Linked DNA regions of Callithrix jacchus. The protein of the gene in region 1 purifies or fractionates together with the protein of each later gene. This does not show direct contact. Links are inferred from orthologs where the notes say so. Each region holds a gene or a part of one and is shown on either strand. Other genes may lie near its edges.

The links.
Region 2: the proteins of COPRS (region 1) and HNRNPH1 purify together in Homo sapiens (co-immunoprecipitation; 3 studies listed by BioGRID and IntAct, with this or other methods). This does not show direct contact. The link is inferred for Callithrix jacchus from reciprocal best matches to the Homo sapiens genes COPRS and HNRNPH1.

The regions. Positions count from the first base shown.
Region 1 is NC_133506.1:102,331,032-102,341,201, reverse strand, and holds the end of COPRS (coordinator of PRMT5 and differentiation stimulator), read right to left. Parts: intron 9,186-10,170; coding exon 9,119-9,185; intron 4,766-9,118; coding exon 4,547-4,765; intron 3,765-4,546; coding exon 3,595-3,764; 3' UTR 3,439-3,594; downstream 1-3,438. UniProt on the Homo sapiens protein: Histone-binding protein required for histone H4 methyltransferase activity of PRMT5.
Region 2 is NC_133503.1:72,025,391-72,036,609, reverse strand, and holds the start of HNRNPH1 (heterogeneous nuclear ribonucleoprotein H), read right to left. Parts: upstream 7,495-11,219; 5' UTR 7,408-7,494; exon of another isoform or gene 7,295-7,407; intron 6,657-7,294; exon of another isoform or gene 6,253-6,656; intron 6,131-6,252; 5' UTR 6,100-6,130; coding exon 6,003-6,099; intron 4,295-6,002; coding exon 4,139-4,294; intron 3,934-4,138; coding exon 3,790-3,933; intron 2,312-3,789; coding exon 2,173-2,311; intron 1,229-2,172; coding exon 1,050-1,228; intron 962-1,049; coding exon 890-961; intron 834-889; coding exon 700-833; intron 544-699; coding exon 408-543; intron 18-407; coding exon 1-17. UniProt on the Homo sapiens protein: This protein is a component of the heterogeneous nuclear ribonucleoprotein (hnRNP) complexes which provide the substrate for the processing events that pre-mRNAs undergo before becoming functional, translatable mRNAs in the cytoplasm.

The DNA.
Region 1 (10,170 bases):
TGAGACCAGCCTGACCAACAGGGTGAAACCCTGTCTCTAGTAAAAATACAAAAATTAGCCAGGCGTAGTGGTACACGCCTGTAATCCCAGCTACTAGAGAAGCTGAGGCAGAAGAATTGCTTGAGCCTGGGAGGCGGAGGCTGTAGTGAGCCAAGATCGAACCACTGCACTCCAGCCTGGGCAATAAGAGCGAAACTTCGTCTCAAAAAAAGTAAATAAAGGCCGGGCGCAGTGGCTCATGCCTGTAATCCCAGCACTTTGGGAGGCCGAGGCGGGTGGATCACGAGGTCAAGAGATCGAGATCATCCTGGTCAACATGGTGAAACCCCGTCTCTACTAAAAATACAAAAAATTAGCTGGGCACGGTGGCGCGTGCCTGTAATCCCAGCTCCTCAGGAGGCTGAGGCAGGAGAATTGCCTGAACCCAGGAGGTGGAGGTTGCGGTGAGCCGAGATTGTGCCATTGCACTCCAGCCTGGGTAACAAGAGCGAAACTCCATCTCAAAAAAAAAAGTAAATAAAAAATAAAAAGCAAAACAGAGTCCTAAATTCACAACTCTTCCACAGATCACAGCAGTTAACACTGTGTGAATTTTATTTGCTTAGCTACTCATGCACATATGCTTTTCATTCTATTTTTTTCTTTCCCTCCCGCCCACCTATATATATAATACCCCAACTCACAACTTCCACCTTTACTCACAGTTTCAGCCGTCTCATAGCTCCTGCTCACACGTGGACCAACACTACCTTTCAACATGACCTTTCCATTTCAGCAGTTCTGCCATCCTCCTCAAGCCCCTAATATCTCCTGGCTCCATTTCTCAAGTTTACCTTTTCATGCCAGACATACTCATGGTCTCATCATCTATGACCTTGAGAGGAGGAGGAAAGGGGGGTATGGTGATATGATCTACCACTGCCCTTTTAGCAAAGACAGTGGAAGGGACATTTTTTCCTCCCTAGGACAGCTTTGGCCATGACTCCCCTCACCGCCAAAGCCACTGCCTTCCCTCACAAGGTTCTGCCTTGTTCATACCCCTTGCAGGACCTTTGAAAAACAGTTTAAGGAGGCTGGGTGCAGTGGCTCATGCCTGTAATCCCAGCACTTTTGGAGGCCCAGGTGGGTGGATCACGAGGTCAGGAGTTCTAGACCAGCCTGACCAACATGGTGAAACCCCATCTCTACTAAAAATACAAATTAGCCAGGTGTGGCAGCAGGTGCCTGTAATCCCAGTTACTTGGGAGGCTGAGGCAGGAGAATCGCTTGAACCTGGGAGGTGGAAGTTGCAGTGAGCTGAGATTGCACCTTTGCACTCCAGCCTGGGCAACAGAGTGAGACTCTATCACAAAAAAAAAGAAAAGAAAGAAAAACAGTTTAAATAGTTAAATGCTCAATTAACTGCTATGGGGTATACTAAAAATTTCTTATCTGAAAGCTTTTCTTGAGTCAGCTTCAATAAGGAGGCAGGAAGATATGAAACAATTCCTGAGCCTGTGAGACACAAAGGTGACTTACTCTAGTGTATCCTAGACCTGCCAGGGCGTGGCCCAGACCATGCTGCTATCTTCGCACATATGCAGGGTCAAGAACGGACCTTGAGTCACATGTGCATCTAGGTCCTATTTCTGCTGCTCACTGTGTGATTTTTTTTGAGACAGTCTTGCCTTGTTGCCCCTGCTGGAGTGCAGTGGCATGATCTCGGGTTCAAGCAATTCTTCTGCCTCAGCCTCTTAAATAGCTGGGACTACAGGCACGTGCCACCACATCCGGCTAATTTTTGGTAGTTTTAGTAGAGACAAGGTTTCACTATGTAGCCAGGATGGTCTCAATCTCCTGACCTCAGGTGATCCACCTGCCTCAGCCTCCCAATGTGCTGGGATTACAGGTGTGAGCCACCATGCCCGGCCTGGTCAAAACATTTTGAGTCTTCATTCCCATCTCTAAAATGAGGTAAATTTTTAAGAGGAACTGCAAGTAAGTAATTGTGAAACCCCATCTCCACTAAAAATACAAAAGTTAGCTGGGAGTAGTGGCACACTACGTTTAGTCCCAGCTATTGGGGAGGGTGAGGCAGGAGAATTGCTTAAACCCGGGAGGCGGAGGTTGCAGTCAGCAAAGATCTCACCACTGCACTCCAGCCTGGGTGACAAAGCGAGACTTCATCTCAAAAAAAAAAAAAAAGATTAAATGAAAAACTGAGTTTCATGTCAACTAAGGATTATGCAACCACTGGTTTAACTAATTTCCCATTTAGTTTATCGGCCTAGGGAGCCTGTTAACTAAGTATATGTTCCATTTTCTATGAACAGGAAAATAAACCAGCTACAAAAATCACCAATGTCTCCTAGATTCCCATCCTTGATCAACAGTGCTAGATCTACAGAAGCAAAACTAAATTTTTTTCTTTCACAGAGTTGTTTAAGGCATCCAAACGTTTGAATTCTTAAAATGTCATTCAGGGCATACCTGTAATCCCAGCACTTTGGAAGGCTGAGACCATCCTGGCTAACATGGTGAAACCCCATCTCTACTAAAAATACAAAAAATGAGCCAGGCATGGTGGCACGAGCCTGTAGTTTCAGCTACTTGGGAGGCTTAGGCAAGAGAATCCCTTGAACTGAGGAGGCAAAGGTTGCAGTGAGCCCAGATCACACCACTGCACTCCAGCCTGGGCAAGATTGAGACTCCATCTCCAAAAAAAAAAAAATGTCATTCAGGGACTTTAAGTGAAGGAGTGAAGGCCGGGTAAGGTGGCTCACACCTGTAAATCCCAGCATTTCAGGATGCCAAGGCAGTTGGATCACCTGAGGTCAGGAGTTCGAGACCAACACAGCCAACATGACAAAACCCAGTCTCCACTAAATATACAAAAATTAGATGGGCATGGTGGTGGGCACCTGTAATCCCAGCTACTCAGGAGGCAAGGCAGAATTGCTTGAACCTGGGAGGCAGAGGGTGCAGTGAGCCAACACTGCACCACTACTCCAGCCTGGGCAACAGAGCAAGACAGAAGGGAGGAAGAAAGAAAGGGAGGGATGGAGGGACTACTCAGAAGTATCTAATTAAAAGGGAAAAAAGCAGGCCAGGCTCAGCAGCTCACACCTGGCCAACATGGTGAAACCCTGTCTCTACTGAAAATACAAAAGATTACCAGGGGATGGTGGCGCATACCTATAGTCCCAGCTACTCAGGAGGCTAAGGTACAAGAATTGCTTAAACCTAGGAAGTAGAGGTGGCAAGTGAGCCAAGATTGCGCTACTGCACTCCAGCCTGGGCAACAACAGTGAGACTGTCTCCATAAATAAATAAATGGGAAAAATGCAGACGAAGCATACTGGTTTTTTTTTTTTTAACATTTATTTACAAAGAACACAACTCCTCTGACACAAACACACACACATTCCAAGGAGGAGCCCATTAAGAACAGCAACAGACTGAGGAGAACAATGGGGCCTTATTGAACACTGGTCTGTGTACCCCAGACTAGGGATCACCGTGAACATTTTCTCAGATACAGCTTTTCACCTCCAAGACAGGAAAAGAGATCCTGACACGGAGGCCCACCCATCTACAAGGCAGAAAGCTCCACACTCAATCTTCAGCATCGTCAAACTGTCCTGTTTCAAAGACCATCTTGGAATAATGGGGTATCAATGGAGGCGGATGGTGCCAGCTGGGGTCATAGATCATGTCTCCTCGTGGCGCACAGCACACCCAAGGTTTGAGCTCTTGAGAAATGCTCTCCTGGATGTCATCAGCATCTGCAGGCAGTTTTAAAAGACAGATTAAGGGAAGGAAGGTAAAAACGGACAGCCAAAACGTTGGACTTATTTTGTTTAAAAACACAGAATCCTCCTTTCCTGAAGAATTGTAAATGTGTTCATTCTGAACAGCTGAGAAGCTGTGCTTCTCAGACAAGGGTTCTTAGCAGTGGAGAGGAAGCAAACTGGATAACACAGCACTTCTATCTGCAGCTGCTCAAGTCATAGCAGAGATTTTTGGAGAGAGTAATAGTTCTGAAGTTAAAACAGCAATAAATGGCCGGGCACGGTAGCTCATGCCTGTGATCCCAGCACTTTGGGAGGCTGAGGCGGGCGATCACAAGGCCAGGAGATTGAGACCATCCTGGCTAACATGGTGAAATCCCGTCTCTACTAAAAATACAAAAAATTAGCCGGGTGTGGTGGCACACACCTGTAGTCCCAGCTACTTGGGAGGTTGAAGCAGGAGAATCACTTGAACCTGGGATGCAGAGGTTGCAGTGACCCGAGATCATGCCACTGCATTCCAGCCTGGGCAACAGAACAAGACACCATCTCAAAAAAAAAAAAAACAGCGATACATCACAGAGTCAAAGGCAAAATTTGCATATATGTTTGTTTTCAATAAAAAAGAGAAGATGTCACAGAAATTGCAGACCTGTAACAGATACCAGCCTAAGCTCATAGATGTGGACCGCTGTTCCAAACTGTCTGCCTTCAGGGCTAGTCTGATAGGTGTATCTGAGAAGACCAGTTCAGGACCCCAGAGACTCCACACCTACCATATGGATTCCCTTGATCTGCTTTCAACTCCAAGTCCCAGTCCTCATGAAAAAGACCACCAGGCTGTTCCTTGGGTGGACAATTTGTTCCTCCTGACAGCTCCCAGGTATTCAGTTCTCCATCAGAGTCCTCCTCATCCACAGCAAAGCCTTCCTCTTCAGAATGGGTACCCTCACCCTGGGCAGGACTGTCATTAGGGACGCTCTGTGCTCTGCAGGCTAAGAAATCAAAGAGAAGATAGCCTTAGTGCCAAACCAAAGAGGACCTGCTGTGTGCTCAGTAAATTTCTGGCAAACTTACTAAGAAGGTAGTAAGCAAGTGTATAGAGTGTTCTTTAGTCACATGAGCACCTTTTGTTTGTTTGTTTGTTTTAATTCTTTAGAATGCAACAGGAATGAGCACTTCTTAAAAAATGCTGTTCTGGGCTGGGCACGGTGGCTCATGCCTGTGATACCAGCACTCTGGGAGCCAAGGCAGGCAAATTACCTGAGGTCAGGAGTTTGAGACCAGACTGGCCAACACAGTAAAACGCCATCTCTACTAATGATACAAAAACTAGCTGGGCATGGTGGCAGAAGCCTGTAACCCTAGCTACTTGGGAAGCTGAGGCAGGAGAATCGCTTGAACCCAGGAGGCAAAGGTTGCAGTGAGCCAAGATCGTGCCACTGCACTCCAGCCTGGTAACAGACCGAGACTCTGTCCCCGCCCCCGAAAAAAAAATGCTGTTCCGTGTATGTTTTTAGAAGAGCTGATAATTTATTTTCAATAAGATGTTTTGTCTTATATAAGGCCAGTAATTGTCAAGTCCTTTAATTTACAAAGAAAGCCAGGGACAGTTTATGTTTTCAGGTGGTTTGCATGTCATTGGGGCAAAGGGCCTCTAATAAATAACACACTTTCAAAATACAAGCTTGAATTGAGCTTTTGCTCTTTTATTCTTCCCTTCTGCCTCAAAGAGCATGTTAAAGGTGAGCACAAGGACAAAGGGGAGCAGGGGCACTGCAGACAGAAGACCAGAGCCTGTCTAGTCACAATGGCAGTACCTAGTGGCTCCTTCTGACATCGGGGAGGCCAGAAGGTACATTTTCAAAAGACCTCATAAAAATGGAAGAAAGACTGGGAAAAGATAATGGATTTCCAAGCACTTAGTGCTATGGTGATGCCAGGTCCCAGGAGACAAGACATTCAGCCTAAAAACAGCCATGCTCTGAATACTGAAACAACAGTAACTGTGATAAGCGATAAAGTGATAATTCAGAGCAAGGGGTCTAGAGACAGACTGTCTGGTTTCAAATTCCTGTTTTGTCAATTACTAAACATGTGACTGGGCCAGGTGCAGTGGCTCACACCTGTAAACCCAGCACTTTGGGAGGCCGAGGTGGGTGGATTGCTTGAGCTCAAGGAGTTCAAGACCAGCCTGAACAACACGGCAAAACCCTGTCTCTACAAAAAATTCCAAAAACGTAGCTGGGTGCGGTGGCACACACCTGTAATCTCAGCCACTCAGGAGGCTGAAGTGGGACGATCACTTAGCCTGGGAGGCAGAGGCTGCAGTGAGCCAAGATCGTGCCATTGTACTCCAGCCTGGACAACAGTGAGATCCCTGTCTCAAAAAAAAAAAGTGTGACTGAGCTGAAATTTACTTAACTAGTTCCATAACATAAATATAGAATTACCATATGACCCAGCAATCCCAGTCCTAAACATATACCCAAAGGAACTGAAAACAGGTGTTCAAATAAAACAAGGATGCTCACAGCAGCAGTATTTACAATCACCAAAAAGTAACCACAACACAAATGTCCATTAATGGATGAACGGATAAACAAAATGCGGTATATCCAAACCATGGAATGATTCAGCCATAAAAAGGAATGCAGTGCTGACAATGTACCTTGAAAATATACAAAGTGAAAGAAGCCAGACACAAAAGGCCACATTTGGTTATGATTCCATTTATAGGCAACTCACATTTGCCTATCCAGAATAGATAAATCCACAGAGACAGAAAGCAAATTAGTGGTTGCCAGGAGCTCAGGGAAGGAAGAAAGGGAGAATGACTACTTGGTGAGCACAGGGTTTCCTCTTAGGGTGACGAAGATTCTGGAACTAGACAGTGGTGATGGTTGCACAACACTGCCATTGTGCTAAAAGGCCACTGAATTATATGCTGTAAAATGGTTAAATGGTAAATATATGCTATGTATCTTTTACCATGATTTTTTTTTTTTTGACACTCAGTCTTGCTCTGTCACCCAGGCTGGAGTGCAATGGTGCGATCTCCGCTCACTGCAATCTCCGCCTCCCGGGTTCAAGTGATTACCCTGCCTCAGCCTCCCAAGTAGCTGGAACTACAGGTGCCTGCCACCATGCCCAGCTAATTTTTTATATTTCAGTAGAGACAGGGTTTCACCATGTTGGCCAGGATGGTCTCGATCTTTGACCTCGTAACTTGGCCTTCCTAAGTGCTGGGGTTACAGGTATAAGCCACCATTCCTGGTTGTTGTAAGAGTTGCTTTAAAAGAAAAAAAAGGCCAGGCGCAGTGGCTCACACCTGTAATCACAGCACTTTGGAAGGCCGAGGCGGGCGGATCACCTGAGGTCAGGATTTTGAGAGCAGCCTGGCCAACATGGTGAAACTCCCTCTCCACTAAAAATACAAAAATCTCTTAGCCAGGCGCTGTGGTACACACCTATAATCACAGCTACTCGGGAGGCTGAGGCACGAGAATCACTTGAACCCAAGAGACAGAGGTTGTGAGCCAAGATCACACCACTGAACACCACTGCACTCCAGTTTGGGCGACAGAGTAAGACTCCATCTCAAAAAAAAAAGGAAAAAAGGGGGGGTTGCCGGGTGTTCACGCTTGTAATCCTAACACTTTGGGAGGCTGAGACAGAAGGATCATGCGAAGCCAGGAGTTTGAAACCAGCCTTGCCAACATGATGAAACCCCATTTCTACTAAAAATACAAAAATTAGCCGGGCATGGTGGCACATGCCTGTAATCCCAGCTACTTAGTAGGCTGAGGTAGGAGAATGGAGGTGAAGGTTGCATGCAGTGAGTCGAGATCGCACCATTGCACTCCAGCCTGGGCAACAAGAGCAAAACTCCGTCCAAAAAAAAAACAAAGAAAAGAAAGAACACCAGGCACGGTGGCTCACACCTGTAATCCTAGCACTTTGGGAGGCTGAGGCGGGCACATCACCTGAGGTCAGGAGTTCAAGACCAGCCTGACCAATATGGTGAAACCCCGTCTTAAAAAAAAAGAAAAGAAAAGAAAGGAAGAAAGAAAAAAGCCAGGGAGGGGACTAGGCATGGTGGCTCATGCCTGTAATCTCACACTTTGGGAGGCCCAGGTGGGCAGATAACAAGATTAGGAGTTTGAGACCAGCCTGGCCAAGACGGTGAAACCCCATCTCTCTCTACTAAAAACACAAAAATTAGCCTGGCATGGTGATGCGAGCCTGCAGTCCCAGCTACTCGGGAGGCTGAAGCAGGAGAATCACTTGAACCCAGGAGGTGGAGGTTGCAGTGAGTCAAGATCATGCCACTGCACTCCAGCCTGGGTAACAGACAGGCTCTCTCTAAAAAAAAGGAGAGAAAGAGACACTGAGAACTGTGCCTGGCACATAGTGAGTCCTGTATAAGCATTATTTCCCATGACTATATTATGTGCTTGATCTAGACCAGCACTATCTGCAATGAGGGAAGTATTCTATAAGCTGTGCTGTCCAGCAGGCCAGTGCTAGCAACACGTGGCTACTGAGCACCAGAAATGTTGATAGCGCAAACAAGGAAGTGAATTTCTCATTTTATTAAGTTATAATTATCATAGCATCAGTGGCTAATGGCTATTCTATTAGATAGTATCGCTCTAGATACTTTCACCCAAACCTCATAATGACCCCAATGAGGCACGTATTAGCCCTATTTTAAAGATGGGAAAGGCTAAGTGAGTTATCTAAGGCCATAAAAATCAAGCCCATGACTCTCTGACCCAGCAGGGAAACCAAAAACAATTTGCCTGGCTCCAAAGCCTATAAAGTAATCTCCCCGTTTATTCAGTTTTGCTTTCCATGGTTTCAATTATCCATGGTAAGGTACAAGTAAGATACTTTGAGAGAGGACACGTTCACCTAACTTGTATTACAGCATGTTGGCATAACTGTTCCACATTCTCATTGTTATTAACCACATATGCATACTTTATAAGTTAAACTTCATCAGAGATAGTATATACAGGGAAATAAAGCAGTTTCAGGCATCCACTGGGGGGGTTCTTAGAATGTACCCCCAAGGAAAAAGGGGAAATTGGTGTACTATTTTCACCATTTCAAGCTGTTTCTCTTGGTAGAAGGATGCGTTTGAACATAAGGAAAGTCCAGGACTTCCCTTAAGGAAGCGCCAAGTAAGGCTTCCAAAGGAGGGTACTGTTCAACACTGGGCAGAAAAGGCCACTAAGCAGCAGAGAAGACGGGCTAAAAGAGGAGGTAAATGAGACAGAGGACTATCCCTCTCCTCACGTCCTTGGTCTCCCCAACTTCCACTGTCTCTGCCATCTACTTGCCTAGTCGATCCATAGCCTTCTCAGTCTCTCTCTCCCGACTGGAGTAGTCAACTGTAGCAAAGTCAGCCTGCAGGAAGAAGAAATGATTACCAAGGACTTGGGTATCTGGGAGATGCCCAGTATTCAGCTATTGTCTTTCAACTTCACCCACTCTTCCATACTCCCCTTGGTGATGCGGGGCTGGGACTCTGCCACCCACTTTTCTGCTTTGCCCTGTTAAACTGGGCAAGGCTGGAGGGAGAGGGGCCTTGTTCCTTTCTAGTCATGTAGGCATCACCTCAGGACACTTCACTGTGGTGGCAGGGATGCCTTCCTATAGCAGCCACAGAATCCGGTACACAGTTCTGAGAACTCTTGCAGAGCCAGCCTCAACACTGAGCCTTTTCTTTAAAGGTCTGGGTCCCAGGACCCTCCTCCAAGCTCAGAGACCCCTACACCAGCTGGGGCAGTGCCTCCTCCTTAAAGGTTGGAATTTCAGCTCTGCAGAGCCTTTACTCTAAGCTTTTAAATTTTAATCAACTTCATCTCTTTGTTCCTTCAGCCACAGGGTTGGTAGCTGTTCCCGGCAGTTGCCACCTCCATTTCCATGTTTTACCTTTTCAGTTACTTAATAACTTTATAGCAACTCTATCAAATTGTTTCCTCACTGACACATTGAGGTGGGGAAGCTTTAGTTCCTCTGCAATGCTGAGCACTGAAGGCAATATTTCTAATCTAACTGAAGACCTTCCCACACAGCCAACCAAATGCTTCTCTGCTCCCATCACTCAGTTCTTGGAACCCTATGACCTCCAAGACCTCTTTCTAAAGAAAAACAAAATATTTCCACCTGTATAAAAAGACCTGATTCTGGCTGGGGGCAGTGGCTCACACCTGTAATCCCAGCACATTGGGAGGCCAAGGTGGGTGGATCACAAGGTCATAAGATCGAGACCATCCTGGCCAACATGGTGGTGAAATCCCATCTCTACTAAAATTAAAAAAATTAGCCAGGGGGGGTGGTGCACGCCTGTAGTCCCAGCTACTCAGAAGGCTGAAGCAGGGGAATCAGT
Region 2 (11,219 bases), on another chromosome or scaffold:
TTCTACATATCTGTGTTCTGAAATGAGAAAAAAAAAGTTTGAAAATGTTTGTTGGTGAAAGAAAACAGGATAAGCACTTTTTAAACACGTAGATCTATGAACTTCAAATACTTGGGCAAAGACTTGTTACTTCTCTTAGGTGATCTTTATAACTTCAAAATCTAGCCTTTACATATTCATCTATATTGTCAATAAAGGATATATACTTCAAGATGTAAGATGTGTATCACAAATCTGTTAAACTAATTTTTAAAAACCAAACCTTTAACACACCCCACCCTGTTCCCCAAGAATCAATCTATTACTGGAAAGGAAACTTCTCATATATTATTTTTCTATTCCTCTATTGTAAATGTTAGTCACACAATCACCTAAGAATGAGCCCATAAGTGCTCAATCACACTTACGCATATTTGCTTTGTCTTTTGACATAGCTGCCACAGCATCTTCATGAGTTGCAAACTCGACATCTGCTTCACCAGTTACTCTGCCATCAGGACCAATTTCAATGTGTACTCTCACAGGATTGAGTGGTGAAAAAAACTACAACACAAGGCAGTTCAAAAAACTGAATCAACTTCCTAACGTTACAAAATGAAACTAAAATCTCTAACATGGTGTTCCCTTTATAGTACAATAAAGTTGAGACTTTTACTGTCATACTGAAATACTGACTTGTGAGTTCCGTCTTACACTTACATTGTAAATGTCATTCTCAGTAGCTCTGTAAGGTAATCCACGCATGTGTACACAGTGTCCTGTTGTGCTCTGGAAAGTAGAGCCACCATCCCCGTATCTGTGATCAGACATTCCTGAAAAACAGTAATTGAGGTCTAGATGGACAAGAGTGTAAGCATCCTTCAACTGAGAAATTCAATTCTTACCTTACCTCTTCCAAATCTATCTGACCCAAATCCATAGCCATCATTATAGCCATTGTAATCATCATAGCCTCCATAGCCTGAAAGACAAAAAAAAATGTACCATCAATCAAACACAACACCTACACAAAGGAACTGACTTGCCAAACCTTAAGAATCCTCACGCACCTCCACCATAAGCACCACGCCTCATCCTTTCAAAGCCTGCTCCTCTGCCAATGCTGTTATATCCTCTGCCAGCCCCAGGTCTGTCATAGGGACCTGGCCGCTGCATGGCCATAAGCTTTCGTGGTGGGTCATAGTGAGTTCTAACTTCAGCTCTACTGCTCTTAAAGATTTCAATATACCTAAAGCATTGTTCATAAGGAAGGGGTAGGGAGGGGAGAGAGAACATTAGTTCATTTTATACAGGTATTTAGTTATACAAGAAAACAATCTAGTCACAGCCATGAAACTGACTAATATTTAGAGCCAGATTTCTTATATTTGCATAGGCAATGACCAGAAATCCACTCAATAAATAGTAAGACTTAATGTATACTTTATAGGAAAAAAAAAACTCACTCCTCTGAGGCAGAGCCCAACCTTAGGGGTAAGAGAGGAGTACTGTATATAAATGTTTTAGGAGGGAAATAATTCCACTCAACTTTCAACATTTCAAGTCTTAAATCCATTGGCAGCATGTATAGCAAGTGGGCTAAAAAGCCAGTCTCCACCAACAGTCTAGCCCACACTACACATTTCCTTTCGCCAATAAATATCCCAGCCTATGCTTTTAGTAAGAATCAGCATAGGTAAGCGCATGCTTCAATGAAAAATAGTCACAAGCAAAGAGAATAAAACCTTTTGTGACAATTTCTTGAAAGCTATGCTTATTAATACTATGCAGAATATTTATATACAGCAAGAAAAAGTTTGTTGCATTTCAACTTTAAAAACAAGATCAGAAAGTATCACAATTTCTTATGGTAATATTAATTTACTAGGTGGTTGTTATTACAGCTAAAGCGAGGTTTGCATTAATTTTTTAAAGCCATAGTCTCTCAACTCTATTGGGGTTAATAAGACTCACAAAATTGTAAAGTAGACCAATTAACTAGGGACAAATTTTAAACCTAAAATTTAGTTTTCATATGACATGGGACTCTGACACAGGAAGTTTAGAAATCATGGCAAAACATCAATTAACTAGGACTACAAAACATTAATTTCTTCTTTTAAGCAGAGAGAATATGGATTTAATTATTTACCATAAGAAAAGTGACATATCCAACCAACCATCCATCCCCACCTGTGCCCTATTCTTTCCTTGTGTTTCTTTAGAGCCTTTTCAGCTATTTCCTGTGAAGCAAACTGCACGAAGGCCTCCCCCGTACTCCTCCCCTGGAAGTCCACCGGCAATGTTATCCCATTTGGCACGATTTCCAACCCTTCAACCCAAGGACAAATAACCCCAGTAGGGGGGCAATATTAACATCACAAGCCCAGAAATGATTCTTCTTATAGCTTTAAATAAACCAGAATTTTTAACTTTAGGTGAATGGTATGCTTTCAACAAGTACTCTTTAAATATGCATTTCAATAATATGAAGTTCCATTATTACAAAATATAACTATTCTTAACACACCCATGGTACAGTATATATTTTTTTAAAACCAACTTGCTGAACACAGGATGCATTAAGAATTCAACTTAAGAACACGTATCAATACAACTAACTTAATGTTGAGAATTATACAAAAATTCAATTAAGTTTTAAGCATTAAACAGTTTTACTAAATTCAAAACACCTTTTACCTCATTTTATATTTCAATGCTTTAAGTTATTGGAACTTCAGCTTTTAAAAAAGGTACACATTTAAACATTTCATATAAAAACTGAAAACATTAAATCATTATTGACAAACATAACAATCTAAATTTTCAACAAAACTGATCTACACCAGACAATCATGCTTGCTTATGCTCTAACAGTAGTATGATTCACTTCTGGAAATTCCGTCTATGAAAAATCCTTTCCGTGGATACATTCTCAAGCTTACAAAAAGGACTTAAAGCACTTTCCTAGAAGATATGAAATTATGTTCATATTTAACGTTGACAGATAGCATTCAATTCTCACCAATGTAGATTAAAAACAAAATAGACGATTTTAAAAATTCTGACATTAGGACTTTATACATATATAAATTTCTAATATACAATAAACCATGAAAGGACTTCTTGCTTCCAGTTTATCACATCATAAATATTAATACTTAAAACATAAGATATCTAACATTCTGTTAAACATGCAATCTTATCAGCTCTTCAGCATAAAAACATTCAAATACTTTAGGCCCACAAACAATTTCAACACTTGTTACTTCAGATACTGAAACTACAAGCATTCAACCTACTCTCATTACATCTGATTTTCAATAAGTTTGTAACACACTGGTTAAACCAAGTCTTTCATAATAGACTTTTGCATTAAAGAGAATTAAGACCATTAGAAGAGATGTTTCTGGTCCCATGACCCAAGCGTCTCTTGCAACACAGACACCTGCCATAACTTACAACAACCTAATTCATCATACTAATCTGATGTTAAGGGATCTTACCTTTAACTTGAGGTACTTAGCTGGACAGCAATGTGAGGAAAGTAGTTAAGCTGTTGAGGGCAATCCTCAATGAAAGATCTACTCTGAACTATAATACTAAATATAGGCAAAGTTAACATTTTGGAAGTATTTCATTTCCACCTTTAAGATGGGCTTAAATTATTTGAAGGTCTCTAGGAAGAAAATATTGGCATAAATTTACAACCTAGTTAAAGACCTAAGCTACTCAACTTTAAGGTTTATTAAATCACCTTGCCAGAAGCTAGCCAAAACTCACTGCTCAGCAACAAACAGGACTACATACCTGAGAAGAACTGAACAATTTCTTCCTTGCTACATCCAAAGGGAAGTCCTCTAAGACGTACAAAGCCATCATTGGCCGTGTCAGGACTATTTGGACCAGTATGCTTCAACACCCAATCCATTTCAACGTTGTTTGACTTGAATACTGAAAGAGGTGCTTAGAATTAGTCAATTTTGGAAAATTAGATATCGAAGTTCAGACTTCCTGGGTCTTTAGATAAGCTAGGAAGAGCTGCCACAAACTCCCTTAGATAACCATTTCCATGCGGTCAAATACCTAAAATTCAGAAGGGGTAAGACCTCTATATGCAACGCTTTATTTACTGTTACTAGGGCAACGTAAATCAAACCTTCAACATATCTGTGTCCCATAGTTTCTCTGTCTTTTTTCAGGGCCAATTTGACTTCATCTTCTGATTCAAGTTCAACAAAAGCCTCGCCACTCGGTCTGCCTTCTCTGGTGTAGATGAAACGAATACCTTGAGCCCCATTTTGAATTTTGCAGTCTGGAAAGAAAACAACCGTTAATACAGAATTTAAAACCTAAAACCACCTCTGGGTGACACAGATGAAATACCTATTCCATGTCCCCCACGCCAAAAATTACATTAACTTGTGAAGACTATAATGACCACGGTATCACCAACTCCTAGAATGCCAATTAAAAAAGAAATCTCATTCCCAAGGGGATCTATTTCCAACCCATCAACATCCAATATTCAAAGCAGTTACAGAATGAATTTCTCTTTTGAGTCCTTGTTACTCATGTCTCCATCACAAATCTTTTATCAATTTCTCAGAATACTATCAAGTCTGTACTTTGTGACTTTATGGCAAACATACTTCGTTGTGAGTTGTTTTGGTCTGGTGCATTTGTCAGTTTTACTTTACCAGCAGCGACATTACGGTTTCTCATTCAAATCCAAATTGCAGGCCCAATACTAACCTGAAAGGGAATCAGTGTTACCAAGCTAAAATGCTCCAAGCTGCACAGCTGCAGCCAAACCCAGTGTTGCCCCCTGCAAGGTGGCTTCCAGTGTACTTGGTTCTTGTTTTACAGGTCGTTTTCCATTACCAACGCTAAATTCAGATAGTAAGTCAACACTACAAACGTCTTACCAAAAGCTGTCAATTTCATCCAAATAGAATTTCATCAGTCTAAACTAATTTCTTTTCCCCAGTCTAATGCTGCGAACAAGAACATTCTGATAGAAAATACTCAGGAAAACTGTGTACTGGAAAAAAATTTACACAGGCAAGAAAACTTCCCTGGGCTTCAGCGTCTTCAACTGTATAGAGAGCCATATCAAGAACTAGACTAGCAAACACATCTCAATTACCAAATCTTGATTAGGAAAACCGAAATTAAGACGTGACACTTTAACTTTCCGAAGCAGAATGCTCATTTTCAAGGAAACACCGAAACTGTAAACAAGAGGTTACACTTCAAGATATTCCAAAACATTACAATTTGTCTAATCACTCGGGAGATTTTTCTCAAGATTCAAGAAGAAATCCCATCTATGCCAATTTATCCTTTCCAAAAGATACCCAGACAGGGAGCAGTGGCTCACGCCTGTAATCCCAAGCACTTCTGGGAGGCCGAGGCAGCCGATCATTTCAGGTCAGGAGTTCGAGACCGGCCTGTCCAATATGGTGAAACCCCCGTCTCTACTAAAAATACAAAAAGATGGCCGGGCGTGGTGGTTCACGCCTGTAATCCACGCACTTTGGAGGCCAAGGCGGGCGGATCACCTGAGATCGGGAATTCAAGACCAGCCCAACCAACATGTTGAAACCCCGTCTTAAAAAAGAAAAAGAGTACAGTAAGTTAGCCAGGCATAGTGACACACGCCTGTAATCCCACCTATTCCGGAGCCTGCGGCAAGGAGAATCGCTTCAACCCGAATCGCAGTGAGCCGAAAACGGAAAAAAAAAGAAGAGCTGGTGTTCAAAGGCAGGTAAAGAAAACAAGTCTACCAGATCGGCAGCACTCCAAGAAACAGGAAGGCGGCGGGGCTTTCGAAATTTCCATTGCGTAACAGCGGTCGGCGGGGCGCGAACAGCACAGCGGGAACTGCAGTCATCCGCGCCACGCCAGGGGGCGCCCCGAGTCCCGCCCGGCCCGCCCCAGCCCGGCTGCCCGCCAGCCCGCCCGCCAGCCCGCCCGCCCAGGCCTCGAACTCGAACTCCCGCGTTCTAGTGGTAACTCACCAGAAAAAAACCTCTGCACTTCATCGGCCGAGCAAGACCAGGGCAACCCCCGGACCTTCACCACGAATCCCTCTCCACCTTCGGTGCCCAACATCATTGTCTCTTACGCGGTCCGACGTCGAAACAAACTGCAAGGCGGGGAGGAGGACCAGACCTGAGAGCGCCCATTAAGCTGTGCTCCGCCCCCGATGTACCCCCCCGGGCCCGCGCCACCCGCCCTACGGAGCAAAAACCGGGCGGATGCACCCACCCCGGCGACTCCAACACCCAACACTTCCTCGGCCAGCGAGCGGACCCCCAAAGCTGCTCTGGGGAGCAGCTGTCGGCGCTCCGAACCCTGGGGGCGGGGGTCGAGAGCCAGCGTGGAGACAAGGAAATGGCGGCGGCCGCTTCCGCTCCGCCTCCTCCGACTTCTCACACAATAGAGTCCGCGCGGCCTGCAGGCCTCGGCGGCGGTGCTGGGATTCAGCGAACAACTTTCGGTTCTCGATGGCTGCCCGCAGCTAGCCAAGATCCCCGCAGCCCTCCCAGAGGTCGGGAGGAAAACAATCCTAGCAAAAACGGACCCCACAGCGGGGGTCGCTGGACAGCTAGGGAGGACCGACCGCAACTCACCCTGACACCCAACTCCAGCGTGGGTAAGACGAAATGGCCAACAGGCGCTTGCGCAACCTAAATAAGGCCCTTTGTGCGAGCTCTGCGCACGCGCAGCCAGCTGCTCGCCCCGCCCCCTTGCGTCACAAAGAGCTCTGACGCATGCGTAACTTCAAGAATCAGCCTACCTCCGGTTGGTAGATTATTACACGCCTGCGTTTTGGACTCAGCACCCCCACCCATTAACCCGCCGGGCTTTTTATTGCGCCTGCGCTTGATCGCGAATATTGAACTTGGAGCCTCAGCGGTTTATAATTGTTTCTTGCGCATGCGTCTTCCTTGAAACCGTTCTCTAGCGTTACCCGCCAACGTGGGGGAGGGGAATGGCGCCGCCAGTTCCCTATGGGGCTGTATAGGAGTCCCGACCTCTGGGTTGTGATGAGGTGGGCGTCTTTCTACCCCTTACCCCCAGTCTTACCGGGGCGCTCCTGGCCGACCTGAAAGGAGGAGCGCGGCCTTCGGGTGTTCCCACTCCCCGCGCCGCCTGTCTCCCCTTTATCCCAAAGCTGGCCGGAGCTGATCAGCTGCAGATTGCCGAGCGTCTTGGGAACTATAGGGCTGCGGACGTCCAGCACCCGAAGCCTCCCGGATGGTGCCTGGGGCACGCCCCAGCCGTGTGTGCCTCCACTTCCCCTTACCTGCCGTCGTCGGGCCTAGGGCGCTGGTCGGCGCGGGGTTCCCGTGCCTGTGGCTCGCGCCTGTACCCCGCTTTTGCCTAACGAACTTGCATCCTTTGTACCTCTTGACCCACCTCCGGGTCGGCGGGCCTGGAACGCCCTGGGGCCCTGGCACGAGGACGGGTCGCCGGGTACTGCCTCGCGAGCGCGATCTCCTCTACGGGTGCGTGCCGGCCTCTGTGCTGGGATAGGCTCCGGCTGAATCATCCCAGCGCTGAATTGGTAACAGTGCGTGATTCCCCAGGTGGAGACCCTGCATTCGAGGCCCCTGGGTCACCCGGTGTGCACATAGGCTGCGAGATGAGTAATGTTCGTGGTTTCTAGCAGCACTGCCCAAAACCGAAGACTCCAGAGCTTCCCAGGCCTCCCTCTGTCTAATCTGGCTGCCCTCTTCACCCCAGCTCTCGTGGACACAGGCAATAAATTAACCATAAGGTAGTGTTGGACCCTGCCGCAGGGCTAACTCAGGTAGTGCAGGCCTGAGTGCCACCCTCGGAAGATTCGGGCAAAGCATGTTTCCAAACCCAGTGCCACAGAGGCCGAATCCAGTTTTGACAGGTTTGAGGAAAGTAGAGAGGACATCCAAAGAAACACAGGAGCCCAGAGCTAAGGAGGGCCTGATCTTCAAAGGCCACTTCGGCCTTGGCAAGGGTGTTAACTGCAAGTCCTGTATAAAGGAAAAGTCTTGCTGGATGTGAGGGAGACGCAAATAGAGAGCAGGCAGAGGGAATGATGGTACATGCCATGCACTCTGCTGCAAACAGAACTAGAAGCACATACCTGTGGTACCATTTCAGAAGGCACTGTGGCTGAGGTCATCAGAAAGAGAGACTCCCACCAGGTGCAGTGGCTCAGACCCGTAATCCCAGCACTTTGGGAGGCTGAGGCAGGTGAATCACTTGAGGTCAGGAGTTGGAGACCATCCCGGCCAACATGGTGAAACCCTACCTCTACTAAAGATAACAAAAATCAGCCAGGTGTGGTGGCATGTGCCTGTAATCCCAGCTACTCAGGAGGGCTAGGCAGGAGAATTGCCTGAACCCAGGAAGCAGAGGAAGCGGTGAGCAGAGATCACACCACTGCCCTCCAGCCTGGGCAACAAAGCAAGACTCCAACTCAAAGAAAACAAAACAAAAATTAGCCAGGCATGGTGGCGCTTGCATGTAATCCCAGCTACTTTGGAGGCTGAGGCAGGAGAATTGCTTAAACCCAGGAGGCAGAGGTTGCAGAGAGCTGAGGTCACGCCATTGCACTCCAGCCTGGGCAACAAGAATGAAACTCCATCTCAAAAAAAAAAAAAATACTAGTGAGGTAGAATAAATTTCATACATTTATAGCCAATTCTCTTTTACATAAATTGTCCAACTTACGTAAAAAAGGTTTTTTAATTTTTATTTTTATTTTCCTTTTTTTTTTTTTCTGAGACATGGCCTCACTCCGTCACCCAGACTGGAGTGCAGTAGTGCAAACATGGCTCACCACAACCTCTACCTCCTGGGTTCAAATGATCCTCCTGCCCCAACCTCCTGAGTAGGTAGACCACAGGCATGTGCCACCTTGCTCAGATAACTTTTTTATTTTTTTGTAGCAATGGCATCTTACATTGTTGCCCAGGCTGGTCTTGAACTCTTGGGCTCAAGGAATCATCCCACCTCAGCCTCCCAAAGAAACGTACTAGGATTACAGGTGAGAGCCACCATGTTTGGTCATGAAAGAAGGTTTTTTTGTTTGGTTTTGTTTTTGAGACAGTCTCACTCCGTCATCACCCAGGCTGGAGTGCAGTGGTGCAATCTTGCCTCACTGCAACCTCTGCCTCCCAGGTTCAACCAATTCTCGCGCCTCAGCCTCCCAAGTAGAAGTATTACACGTTTGCCACCACACCTTGCTACTTTTTAAAAGTTTTTAGTCCAGATGGGGTTTCACCATGTTGGCCAAGCTGTTCTGGAACTCCTGGCCTCAAGTGACCTGCCCACCTGGCCCCCCAAAGTGCTGAGATTAGGGGCATCCGCCACCATGCTCGGGCAAAGGTTTTTTTAATATAAAAAGTTCATAATCAGGCTGGGTGAAGTAGCTCATGTCTGTAACTCCAGCACTTTGAGAGGCCTATGCAGGTGGATCACAAGGTTGGGAGTTCAAGACCAGCCTGACCAACATGCTGAAACCCTGTCTCTACTAAAAATTTAAAAAATAGCCAGGTGTGGTGGCATGTACCTGTAATTCTAGCTACTCAGGAGGCTGAGGCAGGAGAATCATTTGAACCCAGGAGGTGGAGGTTGCAGTGAAATGAGATCATACCACTCCACTCAAGCCTGGGCAACAGAGCAAGACTCCGTCTCAAAAAAAAAAAAAAATAGTTCATCATCTTGCCTCATTGATCTTACTGTCTTGGTATACATCTTATACTTTACAGAGCTCTTTTTTTTTTTTTTTTTTTTTGAGACAGAGTTTTGCTCTTGTTACCCAGGCTGGAGTGCAATGGCGCGATCTCGGCTCACTGCAACCTCCACCTCCTGGGTTCAAGCAATTCTTGCAATAGCTGGGATAGACTGAGCACAGTGGCTCACACCTGTAATCCCAGCACTTTCGGAGGCTAAGGTGAGTGGATCACTTGATGTCAGGAGTTTGAGACAGCCTGGCCAACATGGTGAAACCCAGTCTCTACTAAAAACACAAAATTTAGCTGGGCATGGTGGTGGGCACCACCACCAGCTACTCAAGAGGCTGAGGCAGGAGAATCACTTGAACCCAGGAGGTGAAAGTTGCAGTGAGCAGAGATCCTGCCACTGTACTCCAGCCTGGGCAAGGGAGAGAGATTCCCACTCAAAAAAAGGAAAAAAAAAACAACAACAAATAGCTGGGATTACAGGTATACACCATCACACTCAGCTAATTTTTGTATTTTTAGTAGAGATGAGGTTCACCATGTTGGCCAGGCTGGTCTGGAACCCCTGACCTCAAGTGATCTGCCCACCTCAGCCTCCCAAAGTGCTGGGATTACAGATGTGAGCCACTGCACCCAGCCTATGATTGGTTTTTAATGTTTAGACATGTAGAAGTTTTAAATTTTGAGATGTCAAAGCCATGGATGTGTTCCTTTGAGATTTGTCTTGAAGCTTAGAAAGTCCTTTCCCATCCAGAGATTAAGCACATATTCGTTATCTTTGGTATCATTTGTAAGACACATTTTGTACAATTTAACCTCAATAAGATAGGAATGTGTTTTATTTTCTTCTTACTACTTTTTTTGAAATGGAGTCTCTCTCTGTCACCCAGGCTGGAGTGCAATGCTTTGGCCTCAGCTCACTGCAACCTCGGTTTTCTGATTCGAGTGATTTTCCTCCCTCAGCCTCCAGAGTAGCTGGGATTATGGAAGAGCACTACCATGTGCAACTCATTTTTGTGTTTTTAGTAGAAACAGGATTTAGTAATGTTGGCCTCAGGTGAGCTGCCTGCCTCTGCCTCCCAAAGTGCTGGGATTACAAACATGAGCCACCATGCCTTGACCAGGAATATGTTTTTTTCTGTTTTTGTTTCTTTTTTCTTTTTTTTTTTGAGATGGAGTTTCGCTCTTGTTACCTAGACTGGAGTGCAATGGCGCGATCTTGGCTCACAGCAACCTCCGTCTCCTGGGTTCAAACAATTCTCCTGACTCAGCCTCCTGAGTAGCTGGGACTACAGGCGCGCGCCACCATGCCCAGCTAATTTTTTCGTTTTTTTTTTTTTTTTTTGAGACGGAGTTTCACTCTTGTTACCCAGGCTGGAGTGCAATGGTGCAATCTCGGCTCACCACAACCTCCGCCTCTTGGGTTCAGGCAATTCTCCTGCCTCAGCCTCCTGAGTAGCTGGGATTACAGGCGTGTGCCACCATGCCCAGCTAATTTTTTGT